Linked DNA regions of Arabidopsis thaliana. The protein of the gene in region 1 interacts with the protein of each later gene in a pairwise test. Each region holds a gene or a part of one and is shown in the gene's direction. Other genes may lie near its edges. The genes, in order: CTR1 and ERS1.

Region 1 (11,977 bases):
TATAGAAGTTACAAACATACTTAAGATAACTCTAGTACCACTGTCTATAGGTTTAATCAACATGTCACTGAGCCTAAGTAAAATTCTATAACAAATTGAGCTAGTATATATAGATAAAAGTACCTCCTCGTCTCCAGAGTTTTCACTATCATCATCATCTGAAGAATCTTCTTCACTACCGTCAGCGTCATCATCTTGCTTGGCTTTGACATCTTCATTTGGCAACTGAAAGTTCACCTGTTTCGCAGCAGATTTCGGAGCAGCTGGCTCAACCAAGGCCAAATAAATTTATAAGAGATTGATGTTCTTAAATAAACTAAAATAAGACAACTGGAGACAAATCATTGCAGGACTGGATATAAAAGTCCCCATTTACCTTTGAAACCAGCAGCCTCAAGTTGATCATCAATCAAATCCTCAGGCTCGGTGAGATAGAGTCAAGGAAGTCAAAAACAGAGTAAAGCAACAAGTCCCCAAAACATTTTCATCAACAAAGCTTAAAGCGATAACAACAAAAATGTTCAAATAGTAAAGGATATGGATCAGATGCATCAACTTTGTAACCAGAGAAGAAAACGCTCCCATTCTTCCAAGTATGAGACAGCGCAAAGTTCCTTTCCAAGACAATCTCCGTAGACAGCTGAGGAAACTTCTCATGAGATAGCGTTCCAATGAGAAGCTTATCCGATCCAACAGTCACGTAAAGCTGGATTGGTTCGGTTACATTGTTCTTACTCTCTCCCAAAGCAACCTTCAACAAAAATAAACCAAACGTCACTGTAAAATACATTCTTATAAATCAAATTAAGCTTGCAAATTCAAAAGTACCTGAGAGATGTGCACGAGCCTGTCTAGCCCAGGATCTAGGTGAAGTGGTTTGCCATTCTTAACTTCAACACCTGCAAACGCATAGAAAGCATACAAATCAGTAATTCTGCAACAAAATCCCCAAATGAAACCTCTATCGGAGTTAAAACCTAGCGAGAGAGAAAACTTTTCAGTTTTCCCCAATTTTCTACGAAGACGAACAGTCCATACCCTAGATTGTCACATATACTCACTATTCCCGTTTCTCGTTTAGCTAAACAGAAGATTCCATAGAAAAAACAGTAGAAAAACATGGCAAAACGAAAAAAAGCGATGAAACCAGAAGCTAAAAAAAAACTAAATGCAGGAAATGAAGCGCAGAGAACGAAGAAGAAGAAGGAGTAAGATAGGAGATGTTTTTTACCCCAGAACTCCATTGTTGTGCGAGGTAGTGTGATCTTGAAGGCGACGATGCGTCGAAGGAGAAGGAGAAGGTTCTAGAAGAAGCTGAGAGCGATTCGTCTCTCGAGAGCGGTTTTAGGGCGTGTTGATGTGAGAAGGCTAAAATGTCCGCTGGAATTTATTAATCGGAGGAAGGGATTTTAGGGATCCTCTGTTACGCGGTCCACTCGAATATCTCCTTTAGTTGGGCCATGATTTTAAAATTAGCCCAACAAAACTAACGTTTCAAGCCCATACTTTATTTTGACGGCTTTTTTTAACGGTGTCAGGACGGATCGTAACGGACTTTTAACACTTTATTTGACTGACGGAGTTTTCGTCAACATGTGGGGTCTATATATTCATGTCTTCATGACAATATCTATCTCCATTCCTCAAAATAAGTCCCACGGATAAATTGAGCATAATGTATCGCAAAGTTTTAATTTTTTTCTAATCCAAAGAAAAACCAGTTAACAAAATCTGTGAAGAGTTTATATGATAAAACTAAGTACGGTCCCCGACTACGAATAATTAAAATTATTAAATGGATAGTTGCACGAGTGAGAATTAAGGAACACTATTATTATATTAAACACAATTCATTTTAGTTAGATCTATTCGGGGCCTCTCGTGTTTAGATTTAGAAGAGTTCTCGGCATGAATCATGAACATTTTCCAATGCTCTTAAATTTATAGTTTACCAATATTATACTCCGGTTTTACATATCACACATAATTTCGATTTTTTTCAACATATGTGATCATAATCAATTGTTAAGTTTTAATTTATGCGCATAAAAAAATATATGTTTGTATAGTAGTTAAGGAGAATTTTTTTTTGTTATGTTTTAGCACTTTTTGGATTAATACTAGTTTTAAAAGTATGATTTTTTTTTTATTTTTTTTTGTGCACAAATATGATCAAACCCAAAAGTTTCTTTACATAGTAGCAACTTTATATTCTCAGCAGCCATGGCTAAAAAACGTAAGTTAATGACAAAAATGCGTTGAGTGCAATGAACCTGGCAGTATTCGATGAACCTTAGCGGATCAAATGATATAAATATGCAATAGAATTTAAATATTTATTTATTGTCCAAGCTGCGTGGATAGCTTGATAGATAAATTAATGACAGCACATTGACTACCCAAGCTGCGTTGATAAGTACTTGATCAAAATCTTTACATTTTTATGAAGTACTATAATCCAAAGTTAACTTTTAAGCAAAAGATAATTTTTTGTAATGGTTGTGAAAAATTCACTTATAATAACACGAAACATAATGAAGTATTATTAGTTCATTTATATATAATACACAAAAAACATAAAGGCAATAAAAATAACCAAATTAAAAAAAAATGGAGAAGTAGAAAAGAAAACGAAAAAAAAAAAAAAAGAGAGAGATAAGATGCATGCATGGTATAGAAGTCGCAGGCCGAAGACCAGAAATACGAATGTGTTTGAATAGACAAATTAAGGAATATAAAGACAGAAGAGCCCATCCATTTTCGCATACACGAATACATCCCCCTCGACTCCAATTATTTTATTATAGTCCATTCTCTCACTTTCTATTCTAAATATTGTGGACGTTATAAAGGCTTTTTATTTATTTTATGTCGAGTTTTTTAGACTACGTAGAGCCGAATGAAAATTTCATGTTTAGGTATACGAAACTTGGATCCAATGTTACGGATTCAGATTGGTGTAAAAGATCAAATTTGATAGTATTTGGATTTGATAGGCAAGATGGTTTAGTATTTTACACTGTGTATGTTCCTCTTTTAGCTTTGCGTTTTCTACTTTCACTACGATACTACTTTTTATCTTCCAATTTCAGTTGCTTATCACCAAAATATGAAATACCAAATTAATTGTTTAAACAGTTTTATTAGCGATTAAATTAGCACAAAACATATGAATAGATATCATAGTCGAATACAAAAATTAGACAAATAATAATACACTAAAAAACAAACTAAATTGGAGAATTGTTTTGACAAAAAATAAAAAAAATGTCAAAGTTCCATAAAAAGGAGGACAAAAGAGGAATATAACGAAATTATCAACAGAAACGCACCGAGTAAGTTTATTTCCTATGATAACGCAAAAACAAAAAAAAAATCCAATTCCATTAGAGAGAGAGAGAGAGAGAGAGAGAGAGAGAGACTTTTTTAAAAAGTACAAAAAAAAAATGAAAAACTAGAGAGAGAAACAAGTGGCTAGCTAGCTCGCCAAACTTCTTCAACAATGGCGGTTTCCTAGGGTTTGATGTTTATATGATCGGGAAACTCTCTCATCTAGATCGCGATAACTCTCTTTTCCATGGAAATGCCCGGTAGAAGATCTAATTACACTTTGCTTAGTCAATTTTCTGACGATCAGGTGTCAGTTTCCGTCACCGGAGCTCCTCCGCCTCACTATGATTCCTTGTCGAGCGAAAACAGGAGCAACCATAACAGCGGGAACACCGGGAAAGCTAAGGCGGAGAGAGGCGGATTTGATTGGGATCCTAGCGGTGGTGGTGGTGGTGATCATAGGTTGAATAATCAACCGAATCGGGTTGGGAATAATATGTATGCTTCGTCTCTAGGGTTGCAAAGGCAATCCAGTGGGAGTAGTTTCGGTGAGAGCTCTTTGTCTGGGGATTATTACATGCCTACGCTTTCTGCGGCGGCTAACGAGATCGAATCTGTTGGATTTCCTCAAGATGATGGGTTTAGGCTTGGATTTGGTGGTGGTGGAGGAGATTTGAGGATACAGATGGCGGCGGACTCCGCTGGAGGGTCTTCATCTGGGAAGAGCTGGGCGCAGCAGACGGAGGAGAGTTATCAGCTGCAGCTTGCATTGGCGTTAAGGCTTTCGTCGGAGGCTACTTGTGCCGACGATCCGAACTTTCTGGATCCTGTACCGGACGAGTCTGCTTTACGGACTTCGCCAAGTTCAGCCGAAACCGTTTCACATCGTTTCTGGGTATTTGTTCCTGTTAAGCTTTGTTTCCCAAAATTATTGAATCGTGGTTATAGAGATATGGTCCTCTTGTTTCCGAAGTTTCAGTTAGATCTCCTTACCAAAAGTCTATTAGTAGCAAATGAGATATGTTGTTTAGATACATTGCAGAGTATGATTGTTTTGTGTGCTGCATCAGGTTAATGGCTGCTTATCGTACTATGATAAAGTTCCTGATGGGTTTTATATGATGAATGGTCTGGATCCCTATATTTGGACCTTATGCATCGACCTGCATGAAAGTGGTCGCATCCCTTCAATTGAATCATTAAGAGCTGTTGATTCTGGTGTTGATTCTTCGCTTGAAGCGATCATAGTTGATAGGCGTAGTGATCCAGCCTTCAAGGAACTTCACAATAGAGTCCACGACATATCTTGTAGCTGCATTACCACAAAAGAGGTTGTTGATCAGCTGGCAAAGCTTATCTGCAATCGTATGGGGTTTGTACTCATACAATCCTTACTATCCCTTTGAACTTATATTTTTATATCTTCCTGTGATTTCTCACATTGTACTCGTTAATTCTTGCTTCCCCAGGGGTCCAGTTATCATGGGGGAAGATGAGTTGGTTCCCATGTGGAAGGAGTGCATTGATGGTCTAAAAGAAATCTTTAAAGTGGTGGTTCCCATAGGTAGCCTCTCTGTTGGACTCTGCAGACATCGAGCTTTACTCTTCAAAGTGAGATCCCAACTTTGATGCTATCCCCATGACATTTAAGACATCTTGTGAAATGATCATATAAATTATTGTGCTTCATCCATTTGTTTTTATTGGAATACATATGAAGAACGTTGAATGTGAAAAGTGGTGTTATTGATTAGAAAAAAATAGGTTACTGATAGTTGAATGTTCCAAAGAAAAAAAGTATTTTATATCTTCTATTTGGTGCATGCAGGTACTGGCTGACATAATTGATTTACCCTGTCGAATTGCCAAAGGATGTAAATATTGTAATAGAGACGATGCCGCTTCGTGCCTTGTCAGGTTTGGGCTTGATAGGTATGATACAAGTGATTGCGAAAGAGCCTTTATTTTCCTATTTTCTTTGCTTTTTGTTTCTGGAAAAACAATTATAGCTCCAAATGTTTCGCAGAATATTAGGTTGATGACGTGGAAAATTTGTTTTGGTTTCAGGGAGTACCTGGTTGATTTAGTAGGAAAGCCAGGTCACTTATGGGAGCCTGATTCCTTGCTAAATGGTCCTTCATCTATCTCAATTTCTTCTCCTCTGCGGTTTCCACGACCAAAGCCAGTTGAACCCGCAGTCGATTTTAGGTTACTAGCCAAACAATATTTCTCCGATAGCCAGTCTCTTAATCTTGTTTTCGATCCTGCATCAGGTATTCCCATACAAAAAACCTGAATAATATGTTAACTTTTTGCATGCTGCTTACATCTCGTTTTGTATTTCCCCTAAAAGAGTAATCTCCTATCATTTAGGGTATTTCTTGATCATGTCTCAGTATCTGAAGTGTTAGTAGTCTTAGAATGATTCTATTGTTTGTTTTCTTGTCTCTTTTCACTTTAGTTGTTTTTGGCTGTTGATGTGTATGTTTGTTGGTGGGTTCTTTGCCTAATGATATTTAAGGTTAAACTTGTTAGTCTGCTGTTCAAGCTTATGAATTCTAGTGCATTTATGTGCAAGACTTGTCTTCTGGACTCTAATTTCTTATATCTGCTTGTTTGAATGGTTGTAGATGATATGGGATTCTCAATGTTTCATAGGCAATATGATAATCCGGGTGGAGAGAATGACGCATTGGCAGAAAATGGTGGTGGGTCTTTGCCACCCAGTGCTAATATGCCTCCACAGAACATGATGCGTGCGTCAAATCAAATTGAAGCAGCACCTATGAATGCCCCACCAATCAGTCAGCCAGTTCCAAACAGGGCAAATAGGGAACTTGGACTTGATGGTGATGATATGGACATCCCGTGGTGTGATCTTAATATAAAAGAAAAGATTGGAGCAGGTAATAATTTTACGGAAAAATTAATGATTCGGTCTAAAAATGCAAAGAAATATGAAATTCTTGAGGAAGTGGTTTTGCTTTGGACTCTGTTCTCGAACAAAATAAGGAAAAAGTGCCACCCATTTTGAGATTACATTCTTCTCTGTTGCCTTTAATTCTTCCACTCTAATTTGAGCGACTGCTCTTTCAGGTTCCTTTGGCACTGTCCACCGTGCTGAGTGGCATGGCTCGGTAAGAACTTTTTTGTCAGAATTTACGCAGCTGAATTTTTTTTCGCTCTAAAAATTTGGTTGTGACTTTTGGATCTGCTTGGTATTATAAAAGGCAAAGTTATTGTATATGTGACTCTCCGTTCTGTCAGAAATTAAACACGGACAAAAGGTGTCCCATTTTAGATGTATATGTGTCTTTATATCATAAATTTGTCTTCCTGTTTGAATTTTACAATTCTATCACTAGAAGAATTCTAATTTTGATTATTGCAGTAATATTCTCTATCAATTTCAGGATGTTGCTGTGAAAATTCTCATGGAGCAAGACTTCCATGCTGAGCGTGTTAATGAGTTCTTAAGAGAGGTGCACAAATAAAATTTTCTCTTGATTTTGGTAATGAACTTGTTGTATTAATGTCTCCAATGATCTTGATTCGCTGTCAGGTTGCGATAATGAAACGCCTTCGCCACCCTAACATTGTTCTCTTCATGGGTGCGGTCACTCAACCTCCAAATTTGTCAATAGTGACAGAATATTTGTCAAGGTACAATTACTTGGATTTGGAAGGTTTGATGTACTGAGTGTAGAATTTTGGCCTATAATGACTCTAATACCATGATTTCTTTCAAACAGAGGTAGTTTATACAGACTTTTGCATAAAAGTGGAGCAAGGGAGCAATTAGATGAGAGACGTCGCCTGAGTATGGCTTATGATGTGGTATGTTTAATTCCTTATGTTACATGTATGGGTGATTACTTCCTGATCTTGGTGTTTCTTCACATGGAACTTTCTTTCCAATTCTCTGTCACAGGCTAAGGGAATGAATTATCTTCACAATCGCAATCCTCCAATTGTGCATAGAGATCTAAAATCTCCAAACTTATTGGTTGACAAAAAATATACAGTCAAGGTTTGAATCTAAATTAGAAATTGTTGTGTCCAATGTTTTGATTTTGATATTTTATTCCTCTTGTGAGACAAGCTTATATATAAATTATGATTTTTAATTCTAAATTGGTTTGGAGACATTACAAAAAGGCGTTAATCTGCTGAAACTTAAAAGATACAGCAGCCTCAAGCTGTCGTCTTAAAAACAATCAGAACATTATTATTCTAACTCCTCAATTTGTCTTGAAATTTCAGGTTTGTGATTTTGGTCTCTCGCGATTGAAGGCCAGCACGTTTCTTTCCTCGAAGTCAGCAGCTGGAACCGTAAGTTCAGTTTGTTTGAAACTAAAACACGCTGAACAACGTAACTTTCTTCTAGGTCCTATTTCCAATGGAAGCTAAATAATTACTGACTTTGATATATCAGCCCGAGTGGATGGCACCAGAAGTCCTGCGAGATGAGCCGTCTAATGAAAAGTCAGATGTGTACAGCTTCGGGGTCATCTTGTGGGAGCTTGCTACATTGCAACAACCATGGGGTAACTTAAATCCGGCTCAGGTACTTTCCACTCTAAACATCTCAAATAATAATGATATTATTTTGCATTTGGAAGTCCCTCACTCTACATTTCATAACATGCTATATATGATCATACAAAAAAATGTTCCATAGGTTGTAGCTGCGGTTGGTTTCAAGTGTAAACGGCTGGAGATCCCGCGTAATCTGAATCCTCAGGTTGCAGCCATAATCGAGGGTTGTTGGACCAAGTACGTTAAGATTTTCTATCTCTTTTTTGAATTCTTCTTGAATAGACTTCATGTTTATGTATGTGTTTCATTACCAGTGAGCCATGGAAGCGTCCATCATTTGCAACTATAATGGACTTGCTAAGACCATTGATCAAATCAGCGGTTCCTCCGCCCAACCGCTCGGATTTGTAAAATACCCCCGGTCCATTCAAAAGTTGTTATAATCATGATATGCACATATACTCTCAGCATTCTTTTGCTGCCCAGGAGGGAGACACTAGTTAAGATATAGCTTTAAAGGTACATTCCTCATGAGCTATCAATCATATCCTACAGAATCCCATGGTTTTTATACATGTATTATTTTTGCGATCTTTGTCTGCTGTTTTGTTCCCTTTTTAATGTTGCAGATTGTTAAAATGTACATGACTATTGTCACAGGGAGGAAAAAAAAATGTAGTAATGGAAACAATGTGAGGGATATAATCTATCTATCTAGTCCCAAAGGGTAAGCAATATTTTGTTGTTATGTCTTTGTAGCAATGCACTGAAAGCTATATTTAATTACATTGCTGTACATTTATACCGCTAAATTAGTTACTAAGCGAAGGTAAAAAAGAGCAGCTGGTAAATGCTGTCAAAGGGTTTTGCAAACTCAATATGATTCATTGGATTTACATTTGTTCACTGTGCGATTAGTCTGGACTATAAACCAACAGAAATGAAATAAGACTGTAACTTTCGGAGACTCTAATACAGATGAATATAATCCCAAATCGTTAAAAACGCATTGGGACTGAAAATATCTAGATACATAGTCAACTATTTTTGCCTTCGCGTCTAAGTAAGTTCCCACACTTGAAAACGACTTTACCTGTCTTCCGAATTAATCGTTTGATGGATCGGTAACCAATAGGATTGCGTAAATCAAAATTATACAATATTAAATTCTGAAAAAGGAAACACGAAAAGCGAATCAGTGATTTGTGAGGGCCCAGTTCCAAATTAGAAAGCTGACCTGGCAAACGCGCTAAATCACTCCTCCTTTCAAAAATCTCAAGATGACGTGGGACCCACCATCGTCACCACTTTCTCTCCTTCACCAAATCACAGAGAGAGAGAGCTAAGTGAAGCTGCAAGGAAACAACTTTCAATTTCAATGTCGGTTGTACAATTATTTGTCACTAAAGTTTCCAAATTTCTTCTAAACTGATGAATCAATGGAACATGATGACGAAAAAGATAAATCCACGGTGGCGGGAACTGACCCACCCATTTCCACCGCCTCTCTATTCCCCAGATTTTTTTCAATTATCTGACTACAGTTTGTCGGTTACTTCCTTCCCTAAACCTTTATAAACCATTAAACCTCTCATCCTTCTTCTCTTAAACCCCCTAATTATCACACACACCCCAATTTCTCACTCTCTCTCTCACTAAAACCCGTAAATTTTCTACTATATCAAATGAGCCCAAAAAAAGATGCTGTTTCTAAACCAACTCCAATTTCAGTACCCGTTTCGAGACGATCCGATATACCCGGGTCTCTCTACGTCGACACTGACATGGGTTTCTCTGGGTCACCACTTCCCATGCCACTAGACATCTTACAAGGGAATCCAATTCCACCTTTTTTATCCAAGACTTTTGATTTGGTTGATGACCCGACTCTTGACCCGGTCATCTCTTGGGGACTGACCGGAGCTAGCTTCGTAGTTTGGGATCCTCTAGAGTTTGCCAGAATCATACTTCCAAGGAATTTCAAACACAACAATTTCTCCAGCTTCGTCAGACAGCTTAACACTTATGTAATCATCTCTCTTGCTCTGTTTCTGTTTTCTAGATAGACTCATTCTTCTTCTTCTTCTTCTTCTTTCAGTTTTGTTTTGTTTTTATGTTTCTGTAATCTTTTTGATGACCAAAACCATTTTGTATAGATTCTTGAAACTCGTTTTTTGATAACTTGTAAAAAATTACCTGTAATTTTCTTTTCTTTTTGGGATTTGTTTAATCTCTCTATCATGTAACACTGAGTTTTGTATCTATGAAATTTTGGCCTCGATTGGATCTTATAATAACTTCTCATCTGAAATAAGCTTGTAATCTTGTATACTTATGGTTTCGTTTGAATGGAGAATTTTGGTTTATGAAGTTTTGTTATTTTCTCACAATGTTAACTTCAGTCTGGTTTAAGACATCATTACTCACATGTTCTTCACACTTCAGAGGTAGAATCTTTCTAATATCTTGAGATATTTGGTCTTGTCTTGATGTAAATGTGTTTACTTACTTTATCTTGAGCTTGTTTGAGTTGTTTTTTTGGGGTTGGAATGTTTCCAGGGATTTCGAAAGATTGATACTGACAAGTGGGAATTCGCTAACGAGGCTTTCCTTAGAGGCAAGAAGCATCTTCTGAAGAACATTCATCGTCGTCGATCACCACAATCCAACCAAACTTGCTGCAGTAGCACTAGCCAAAGCCAAGGGTCACCTACTGAGGTTGGAGGAGAGATTGAGAAGCTGAGGAAAGAGCGGCGTGCATTGATGGAGGAAATGGTTGAGCTTCAGCAGCAAAGCAGAGGCACAGCTCGACATGTGGACACTGTAAACCAGAGGCTGAAAGCTGCAGAGCAACGTCAGAAGCAATTGCTCTCTTTCTTGGCTAAGTTGTTTCAGAACCGGGGTTTCTTGGAACGCCTGAAGAACTTCAAAGGAAAAGAAAAAGGAGGAGCTCTTGGATTGGAAAAGGCGAGAAAGAAGTTCATCAAGCACCACCAGCAGCCTCAAGATTCTCCAACAGGAGGGGAGGTGGTGAAGTATGAAGCTGATGATTGGGAGAGATTGCTAATGTATGACGAAGAGACTGAGAACACCAAGGGTTTAGGAGGGATGACTTCAAGCGATCCAAAAGGCAAGAACTTGATGTATCCATCAGAAGAAGAGATGAGCAAACCAGATTACTTGATGTCCTTCCCATCTCCTGAAGGACTTATTAAACAAGAAGAGACGACATGGAGCATGGGTTTCGATACTACAATACCGAGTTTCAGCAACACCGATGCATGGGGAAACACAATGGACTATAATGATGTCTCAGAGTTTGGTTTTGCTGCAGAAACAACAAGTGATGGTTTGCCTGATGTCTGCTGGGAACAATTTGCTGCAGGAATCACAGAGACTGGATTCAACTGGCCAACTGGTGATGATGATGATAATACGCCAATGAATGATCCTTAGGATCTTTTCATATATAGTTTAGACCAAAAACCCGTTTCTTATCGGGTGAACTATTAATTCATTATTCATTTTGAATGCACTCTTTATACATATATATAATATTGATGAGTTTGATTGTTCCTTTCTTATTCACTTAATCCAGGGTCTAATAACATTGATTATGAAGGATATATAACACAAAATTATGCTTTTATCTGCTTGAGTAATTAAAATTTTTGCAGGTCTGAAGTGGAACAATGTTTCTTTAAAAGGATTTTTCTCTCTGAAGCTGTCTGGTTTAATCATTTATGTCCCAGGTACGAATGCAAAAGCTCTTTCCTCTCTCTCTCTGTCTTCTTCTTCTTCTTCTTCTTCTTCTTCTTCTTCTTCTTCTTCTTCTTCTTCTTCTTCTTCTTCTTCTTCTTCTTCTTCTTCTTCTTCTTCTTCTTCTTCTTCTTCTTCTTCTTCTTCTTCTTCTTCTTCTTCTTCTTCTTCTTCTTCTTCTTCTTCTTCTTCTTCTTCTTCTTCTTCTTCTTCTCCTTTGCTTGTCTGTTGGGGTATGTTTTGTGTCTTGATTGAAGGAATTTGTACCGGTTTATAACAGATTTATAAACTAATTACAAATTCAATAGCCAGTATTCATGTAATCTCGTCTCACGTTTAGCTAACCTGA
Region 2 (9,166 bases), on another chromosome or scaffold:
ATTGATACAACGTTCATGAAACGCGATATCAACTTCTCATCTACAAGAGTTCAACATGAAACTCCGGCGAACGATGAGGAACGATTCTCAGAGAGAATCCAAAAGGAAACTATAAACAACAAATCCAAAATCTTCTTATCTTCTGCAAATGATCTTCATTAGCTATATATCTCTGCATCTCGATTCTTCCTCTAACACTCCCATCGACCAATCTTCTCTTGCCACGTCTCACAGCTACTGTCTCCACTCATGTATTGCCACGTATCTAACCATATATCAATGCCTAGTTTCCTATATCAGATTGACACCGAAGTATTGAGGACGAGAGAGAAGAGAGAAGTGCTTCGTTATAGATGCAAATCTTATCTCTGTCTCCCTCAAAACCCAAGGAGAGGGAAGATAACTATTTTAATGTTGATTTTTTTTTTTTAATGAATTTTAAAAAGGTAAAAATACCTTATTGCTTTTATTTTTATAAAAAAATTGGTGTGGCCTTGTGGGAGCTATTTTTAGTTAGTGCATATAATATGATGCTATTGAAAATCCCTAAAGCTTATTACCATTGTTAGTTTGTTACCATTCACACCTTGAGTGTTTGATTGATGGGTTATTTCAACACATTCCACGTTTGCGACCAACGTTTGATCTTATTTCTTTCTATTACCAAAAAAAAAAAAAAAAAAAAAACTCGAATAAGATTAAATTGGAATTACTAGTCGGTTTAGATAAGATCATAAGAGAGAAGTCGAAGTTGTTTTGGAAAAAAAAATTCCGATAGATGTAAGCTTATTTGTGGTTGAACTTATAAAACCATGTATGTAAACGAGCACACATTTAGTCTGTAACCTGTTTATTCTAATTTCTTATAACGGACCACAGTCACATGTTTATCTCTAATTCTACAAAGTTGTCTATTTTCAACGGTGGTCAAAGTATGGATTAGATTTTCATTGCACCCACCACCACCTCTCTTTGCAAGCACCTCCCAAGAAAGGTACGTATATCAGATCAGAGGGTTTACTTTTTCATAATGTTAGTCTTTGATGAGTTTGTGTTCTTTTGTGAAGAATATAATGTAGTCTTTCATTATTTTGGCTTGTGTCTTTCAAAACTCTCGTGAAAAAATGATGCTTTATACCAATATACACCTTCTCATTTCCTAGCGGATTTCATTATTTCATAGTTTTGAACTTTGAACGTGAACGAAAAGCCAATAGTTATATCTATTTAAAATGCATCAATAAACAATACTCTATTTGTGATAGTATGAGGTGAGAGAGAAGAAATGATGAGCGATGCAGAGGGGAGAGGAGACATGCGTGACGGAAAAGAGACTCAAAAACGACACACAGTTGGAAAGTGAGGAGATAATATAGCATTATTTTTAGGGTTTAGATCAGAAGAGAGAAGTTTCGAGAGAAAGAGATTAACGGAGACAAACAAAAACCCTTCCTTCACTCCAACACAATGAAGTCAACGTGCTTTTAACATGTGGATACCGATATCTCCCACGCTCTTCCTCTGCTTCTTGGTTTTACACTCGCCCTTGTCTTTTGCCCTTTGTACCCAAATATATATTCAGCATAATCGTGAAATGACGACTATGTAGAATGATAATGCACCAAAGACTAAGATATTTTAGACGCCCAAGAATTAAATTTGGATACACAAAACTAATCACTTGGTGGTGTCCCGTCTCAAAGCTCGATCCCAAAAAGTCAACAACATGCACCATGACCATGAGTATTCTGTATTCACTACCAAATCGACACTACTATAACTATAACGTCAAACTAATCCATATGCTTTGTTTTACTTTTATAGCCCCCTCGATTACGAAACACGTATAGTTTGGTATCAAGACAATTGTAGAGATTATGTATGGTGAGAAATTCATATCTTTGCAGTCACCTTAAACGCAATCTATTTGAGATTTGTGAAATCAAGAAAGTAATTATATAAAAAAAAAAGATATATAACGAATCGCGAAAAATTATTACTAAGTTTATTTTTTGGGAGATAAATGATATATTCCCCAAGTAATTTACGTAAATTATTTTAAATGAACTATTAAGTCAATTATATATTTAAAAGAAATCTTAAAACTGATATCCTAATTTATGAAAAAAAAATAATAATTTAAATCTGCTTTCCCAAATATTAAATGAACTATTAAGTCAATTCTTTAAAAATAACAGTTTAATATTTTTTTGAAGATCAAAATTACTACTTACTATCTTAAACATATATAATAGTCAATCAAAAACAAATTCAAAATTAAAAAACCCACTAGCACATCATAAAATTTAATTTAGCTACTCTTAGGAAAAGTGTTATTCAAAATAAATTTCCCAATTTATTTTTCTAGATTTGCTGTTTATCATTTATTTTGGAAAGCGATTAATTTTGGATATTATAAGTTTCATGAATCACTAGTGTAAGTTAGCGAGTATGATTCCGGAGCGTAAGACCCACGCGCAGTAGACGAAGACGGAAGCAAGCACCTTCTACTTCCTCTTCCTCTTTGTCTTTAAACCCCTCGTCGTCTTTCTCCCGTGTTCTAACCTCATTCCTCCATAACCCCTTTCTTCCTTTTGAATCTCTCCTTCTTCTTCTTCATCCCCAAATTCGAAACCCTAACCCTAAAACTCAGTTTCAAAATGGCTGAACCAATCACCAAGGAGCAGCCTCCTCCACCTGCTCCGGACCCTAATTCCACCTACCCTCCTCCGTCCGATTTTGATTCCATCTCGATCCCTCCGTTAGATGATCATTTCTCCGATCAGACTCCGATTGGTGAACTAATGTCCGATCTGGGGTTTCCCGATGGTGAATTCGAGCTCACTTTCGACGGTATGGACGATCTTTACTTCCCTGCTGAGAATGAGTCGTTTCTCATCCCTATCAATACGTCCAATCAAGAACAGTTTGGTGATTTCACTCCGGAGTCTGAAAGTTCTGGAATTTCCGGTGATTGTATTGTTCCCAAAGATGCAGATAAGACTATTACAACTTCCGGTTGCATTAACCGGGAATCTCCTAGAGATTCCGATGATCGTTGCTCCGGTGCTGACCATAATTTAGATCTACCGACTCCATTGTCCTCTCAGGGTTCGGGTAATTGCGGTTCTGATGTTTCGGAAGCTACAAATGAATCGTCGCCTAAATCGAGAAACGTTGCGGTCGACCAGAAGGTTAAAGTGGAAGAAGCTGCTACGACGACGACGTCTATTACCAAGAGGAAGAAAGAGATCGATGAGGATTTGACTGACGAGTCTAGGAACAGTAAGTACAGGAGATCGGGAGAGGATGCTGACGCTAGTGCTGTTACCGGTGAAGAAGATGAGAAAAAGAGAGCTAGACTCATGAGAAACCGTGAAAGTGCTCAGCTTTCTAGGCAGAGGAAGAAGCATTACGTCGAGGAGCTTGAAGAAAAGGTTAGGAATATGCATTCTACGATTACGGATTTGAACGGTAAGATATCGTATTTCATGGCTGAGAATGCTACTCTAAGGCAGCAATTGGGTGGCAATGGAATGTGCCCGCCGCATCTTCCACCACCTCCGATGGGAATGTATCCACCTATGGCTCCAATGCCTTATCCATGGATGCCTTGTCCTCCTTATATGGTGAAGCAACAAGGATCTCAAGTGCCTTTGATTCCTATTCCTAGGTTGAAACCACAGAACACCCTTGGAACATCCAAGGCTAAGAAGTCCGAGAGTAAGAAGAGTGAAGCTAAGACCAAGAAGGTGGCTAGTATTAGTTTTCTGGGTCTTCTGTTTTGTCTATTTTTGTTTGGTGCATTAGCTCCAATTGTGAACGTTAATTATGGAGGAATTAGTGGTGCTTTTTATGGGAACTATAGATCTAATTATATTACTGACCAGATTTACAGTCAGCATAGGGATAGAGTTTTGGATACATCTCGTAGTGGTGCTGGTACTGGGGTTTCTAATAGTAATGGGATGCATCGTGGGAGAGATTCTGATCGAGGAGCTAGGAAAAATATATCTGCAACAGAGAGTTCTGTCACTCCTGGAAATGGTAGTGAGCCTCTAGTTGCATCACTCTTTGTTCCGAGGAATGACAAGCTTGTGAAGATAGATGGGAATTTGATTATCAATTCTATATTGGCGAGTGAGAAAGCCGTGGCTTCGAGAAAGGCTTCTGAATCAAAGGAGAGGAAAGCTGACTTGATGATCTCTAAAGATTATACCCCTGCACTGCCTCTACCTGACGTGGGAAGGACAGAGGAATTGGCTAAGCATCTCTATAGATCTAAGGCTGAAAAACAGAAAGCTCTATCCTCTGGCTCTGCTGATACTCTGAAAGACCAAGTCAAAACAAAAGCAGCCAACGGTGAAATGCAGCAATGGTTCCGTGAAGGTGTTGCAGGTAATCATGGGTTTTTGATCTTACTTTCTGTTCCCTTGACTTGGTTATGTAGGCAGGCATTGTAGGTATACTAGTCCTTATCATATCTTGATATTAGACACAAGAACATTTTAATGAGGCTTAACTTACCTTCAGCAAATCTCTGGTCATGAGTAGATGTATTGTATAATCTGGATTAGATACTAAACACTAATAAGGAACATGTGAAATTGTTACTCATATTGTATATTTTTCTTCATCTTTCTCGGCAGAAGCTGTAAGCGCAGTAGTAGCGTTTATATCTTTCTTGTTCACTAAATAATAACACCTTTTTTGTTTGTTAAATGACTATATTGTAGGTCCCATGTTTAGTTCAGGGATGTGCACTGAAGTGTTTCAGTTTGATGTATCCTCAACCTCTGGAGCCATCATTCCTGCAGCTACCAACGTCTCTGCTGAACACGGTAAGAACACCACAGACACACACAAGCAACAGAACAGAAGAATCCTTCGTGGTCTTCCCATTCCACTCCCAGGATCAGATTTTAACCTCACGAAAGAGCACCAAAGAAACAGCAGTAGCAAAGAAATCAAGCCTGCTTCATCAATGGTTGTATCTGTGCTTGTTGATCCCAGAGAAGGAGGTGATGGAGATATAGATGGGATGATTGGGGGACCAAAATCACTGTCTCGAGTTTTTGTAGTCGTGCTTCTGGACAGTGCAAAGTATGTAACATACTCCTGTGTCCTACCTCGATCAGGAGCTCCTCATCTTGTGACCACTTGAAGACATATGAGGATTGAAACATATATCAGCAGGTCTTCTCTCATATAGGCTTTGTATGTAAAAGAATAAATACCTGCTCTCTGGTATCACGTAATATCCTTAGCTAATACCGTTGTCCGGTTTTTGTTTCCAGATGTAGAATCCGAATGCTGTAACTTTTTTTTTTTACCTTTTATAAACTCATAGCCTTAGAAAGTTTTATCAAACCTCTCATATACATTGCAAAAGTCGATGACCAAAAAATGTCATTCTACAATAGAAGCTGAAATCCAAGTAGACAAAAGTGATCAGTTAGTTGATTCCATGGTTTGAGCCAAGGGGGCATCGGTGATAGCAGGAGAATATGAGCACACAAGTGACAGAAGAAGAAGTCTTTACCTGAAGGTCGACGGAGAGAGAATTGGATTAGCATGAACCCTCAGATTCATGAACCTGAGCTCACTTTTAAAATTTCTTTATTTCATTGTCAGAAAAAGAGAGCTAATAATATTATTATTTAAATGTAACAAGTAGGCCTATAACACGTGAACTTCCCTCTTTGCAAAAAAAAAATCATCAAAAACTTTTACCTCTCATTGGTTTCTTCTTTATCACACTGTTACGCTTGGATTCTCATTTCTTCAAGTTCATAACGCTCGGATCAATCAGGAAGACGAACTTGAACTTTCTTTTTTTCATCATTACCCAAAGCTATGAGGCTCACACCACCAATAGCTCCGCCGTCATGAATCCTTCTCTTCCAGGTACTGTGCCGTCTCGGGATAACAAACTTTCTATTTATTCTCTTCTGATCGGATCTATCTATCGATGAAGATTGATTTCACTACTTTAGTAACATTTCATCTGATCGATCTGTGTTGTGTTATCGAGGAATCAATCTCATTTTGTAGATTCAATTTTCTGGATAGATTTTGTATCTCTTTTCCATAGCTCTAGTCCAAATCTAGTCTCCACTGATATCTGAGTTTTGTTGACCAGGTCAACACAAGTCAGAGCTCCAAAAATGGAGTCATGCGATTGTTTTGAGACGCATGTGAATCAAGATGATCTGTTAGTGAAGTACCAATACATCTCAGATGCGTTGATTGCTCTTGCATACTTCTCAATCCCACTCGAGCTTATCTATTTCGTGCAAAAGTCTGCTTTCTTCCCTTACAAATGGGTGCTTATGCAGTTTGGAGCCTTTATCATTCTCTGTGGAGCTACGCATTTCATCAACCTATGGATGTTCTTCATGCATTCCAAAGCCGTTGCCATTGTCATGACTATTGCTAAAGTCTCTTGCGCGGTTGTGTCGTGTGCTACCGCGTTGATGTTGGTTCATATTATTCCTGATCTTCTCAGTGTTAAGAACAGGGAATTGTTTCTCAAGAAGAAAGCTGATGAGTTAGATAGAGAAATGGGTCTTATTTTAACACAAGAGGAGACTGGTAGGCATGTTAGGATGCTTACTCATGGAATTAGAAGAACTCTTGATAGGCATACTATTTTAAGAACCACTCTTGTTGAGCTTGGTAAAACTCTTTGTCTTGAGGAATGTGCGTTGTGGATGCCTTCTCAAAGTGGTTTATATTTGCAGCTTTCTCATACTTTGAGTCATAAAATACAAGTTGGAAGCAGTGTGCCGATAAATCTCCCGATTATTAATGAACTCTTCAATAGCGCTCAAGCTATGCACATACCTCATTCTTGTCCTTTGGCTAAGATTGGGCCTCCGGTTGGGAGATATTCACCTCCTGAGGTTGTTTCTGTCCGTGTTCCTCTTTTACATCTCTCTAATTTCCAAGGCAGTGACTGGTCGGATCTCTCTGGCAAAGGTTACGCTATCATGGTCCTGATTCTCCCAACCGATGGTGCAAGAAAATGGAGAGACCATGAGTTAGAGCTTGTAGAAAACGTGGCGGATCAGGTCCATCTCTTTACTTGTATATGTTTGGTTGTGTGTCAAGTTGCTTTACCAGCTTTTAGTGTTTTGTTTTGTCCCCTGACTCTCACTTCATTCAGGTGGCTGTGGCTCTCTCACATGCTGCAATTTTGGAAGAATCCATGCACGCTCGTGACCAGCTTATGGAGCAGAATTTTGCTTTAGACAAGGCTCGTCAAGAGGCTGAGATGGCAGTACATGCTCGAAATGATTTCCTAGCTGTTATGAACCACGAGATGAGGACACCGATGCATGCCATCATCTCTCTTTCTTCTCTTCTCCTTGAGACTGAGCTGTCTCCAGAGCAAAGAGTTATGATCGAGACAATACTGAAAAGCAGCAATCTTGTGGCTACACTAATCAGCGACGTTCTGGATCTTTCGAGATTGGAAGATGGGAGCTTACTCTTGGAAAATGAACCATTCAGTCTACAAGCGATCTTTGAAGAGGTAACTAAATCCCCCTGATTAACCAGTGAAGTCCATTATATATGTCTTACATGAATAACATGGGCGCTTTGAATCTGCAGGTCATCTCTTTGATAAAGCCAATCGCATCAGTGAAGAAACTATCAACGAATCTGATTCTGTCTGCAGACTTACCAACTTATGCTATTGGTGATGAGAAACGTCTGATGCAAACAATTCTTAACATCATGGGCAACGCTGTGAAATTTACTAAGGAAGGCTACATCTCCATAATAGCCTCTATCATGAAACCCGAGTCCTTACAAGAATTACCATCTCCAGAATTTTTTCCAGTTCTCAGTGACAGTCACTTCTACCTATGTGTGCAGGTTAGACCCAATCTACAAATTACTAAACTACAAAGTTAAGCTTCTTACTGTGTTCTTACTGTTATAATCATGGTGCAGGTGAAGGACACAGGGTGTGGAATTCACACACAAGACATTCCTTTGCTCTTTACCAAATTTGTACAGCCTCGGACCGGAACTCAGAGGAACCATTCCGGTGGAGGACTCGGGCTAGCTCTCTGTAAACGGTAACAACCCAAAAGTATATATAAGTTATAAGCAGATGGTGTTACAAATAGCTAAAAGGCAAGTTTCTGTTGATGGATGTCTCTGGTTAGGTTTGTCGGGCTAATGGGAGGATACATGTGGATAGAAAGTGAAGGCCTAGAGAAAGGCTGCACAGCTTCGTTCATCATCAGGCTTGGTATCTGCAACGGTCCAAGCAGTAGCAGTGGTTCAATGGCGCTACATCTTGCAGCTAAATCACAAACCAGACCGTGGAACTGGTGATACATTACGTTGGAAAGACTTGTATTGAGGTGAGACTTTTTAACTACACAGCAGCAAGAGAAAGAAGAAAATACATGACCGGACGGTGTGATCTAACTTATTGGATTTTGTTGGATGTAATATGTAAAATAAAAATCCTATATACGGGGAGAGGTACCTTATCTGTTCTCACTATATTTTATTGAACATTACTTTAGAGAATATGTTTTGGAATTCACTACTAAATAAACGATATAAATCTTCACGAAAAGAGCAACATTTTGTGGTTGTGGCAGATTCACAAATTCTTTTTTATATATGATAAATTACCTTAGAAAGTTTTACTTACTCATCAAACTTCTCAAATACATTGCAAAAGTCGATGAAAAGAAAAATGTCTTCTACAAAATAAACAAGGAAGCTCAATGAGACAAAGTGATCAGTTAGCTGATTCCATGGTTTGAGCCAAGGGGGCATTGGTGATAGCCATCTTCATGTCAAGAGGATATGAACCACTGCTTTGTTCTCGAATCTCTCTGTATTCTTGGCAAATGGCACACAAGTGACAGAAGAAGTGTGTTACAAAATCCCCACATGGAGCCTCCTGAATCAAAGAATGTTAAATCAGTCAGAAGCGCCACATACATACCTAATGGTATTATCCACATATGTGTCGTTTGAGAAATTCTAACCTGTAAATTGTACTTGGCTCTTAATGATTTGCGGTACCCGCAAGCATAACATGACACAAAGCATCCCGGTAGACCGAGCAATGCGCCATTAGTTGCAAAGCAGCAAATGGTATTGACCAAAGCCCAGGAGATGCAATGGGTTA

What was found.
Region 2: the proteins of CTR1 (region 1) and ERS1 interact in a two-hybrid assay, tested with the Arabidopsis thaliana proteins (2 studies listed by BioGRID).

The regions. Positions count from the first base shown.
Region 1 is NC_003076.8:971,261-983,237, reverse strand, and holds CTR1 (Protein kinase superfamily protein), read left to right. Parts: upstream 1-3,388; 5' UTR 3,389-3,577; coding exon 3,578-4,225; intron 4,226-4,400; coding exon 4,401-4,702; intron 4,703-4,799; coding exon 4,800-4,941; intron 4,942-5,158; coding exon 5,159-5,262; intron 5,263-5,397; coding exon 5,398-5,603; intron 5,604-5,960; coding exon 5,961-6,236; intron 6,237-6,426; coding exon 6,427-6,467; intron 6,468-6,743; coding exon 6,744-6,812; intron 6,813-6,892; coding exon 6,893-6,993; intron 6,994-7,082; coding exon 7,083-7,167; intron 7,168-7,261; coding exon 7,262-7,360; intron 7,361-7,593; coding exon 7,594-7,662; intron 7,663-7,765; coding exon 7,766-7,897; intron 7,898-8,011; coding exon 8,012-8,106; intron 8,107-8,183; coding exon 8,184-8,280; 3' UTR 8,281-8,388; exon of another isoform or gene 8,389-8,529; 3' UTR 8,530-8,878; downstream 8,879-11,977. Other genes in the region: HD2C (histone deacetylase 2C), read right to left, coding at 124-263, 377-426, 540-751, 829-899, 1,232-1,244; HSFA3 (heat shock transcription factor A3), read left to right, coding at 9,555-9,896, 10,429-11,325; AT5G03710 (replication factor C large subunit), read right to left, coding at 11,611-11,843. UniProt on the Arabidopsis thaliana protein: Acts as a negative regulator in the ethylene response pathway. Phosphorylates the cytosolic C-terminal domain of EIN2, preventing the signaling in the absence of ethylene.
Region 2 is NC_003071.7:17,083,821-17,092,986, reverse strand, and holds ERS1 (ethylene response sensor 1), read left to right. Parts: upstream 1-5,660; 5' UTR 5,661-5,907; intron 5,908-6,142; 5' UTR 6,143-6,167; coding exon 6,168-7,073; intron 7,074-7,168; coding exon 7,169-7,537; intron 7,538-7,617; coding exon 7,618-7,884; intron 7,885-7,962; coding exon 7,963-8,090; intron 8,091-8,180; coding exon 8,181-8,352; 3' UTR 8,353-8,666; downstream 8,667-9,166. Other genes in the region: BZIP17 (Basic-leucine zipper (bZIP) transcription factor family protein), read left to right, coding at 2,661-4,398, 4,737-5,164; AT2G40935 (PLAC8 family protein), read right to left, coding at 8,771-8,935, 9,024-9,166. UniProt on the Arabidopsis thaliana protein: Ethylene receptor related to bacterial two-component regulators. Acts as a redundant negative regulator of ethylene signaling.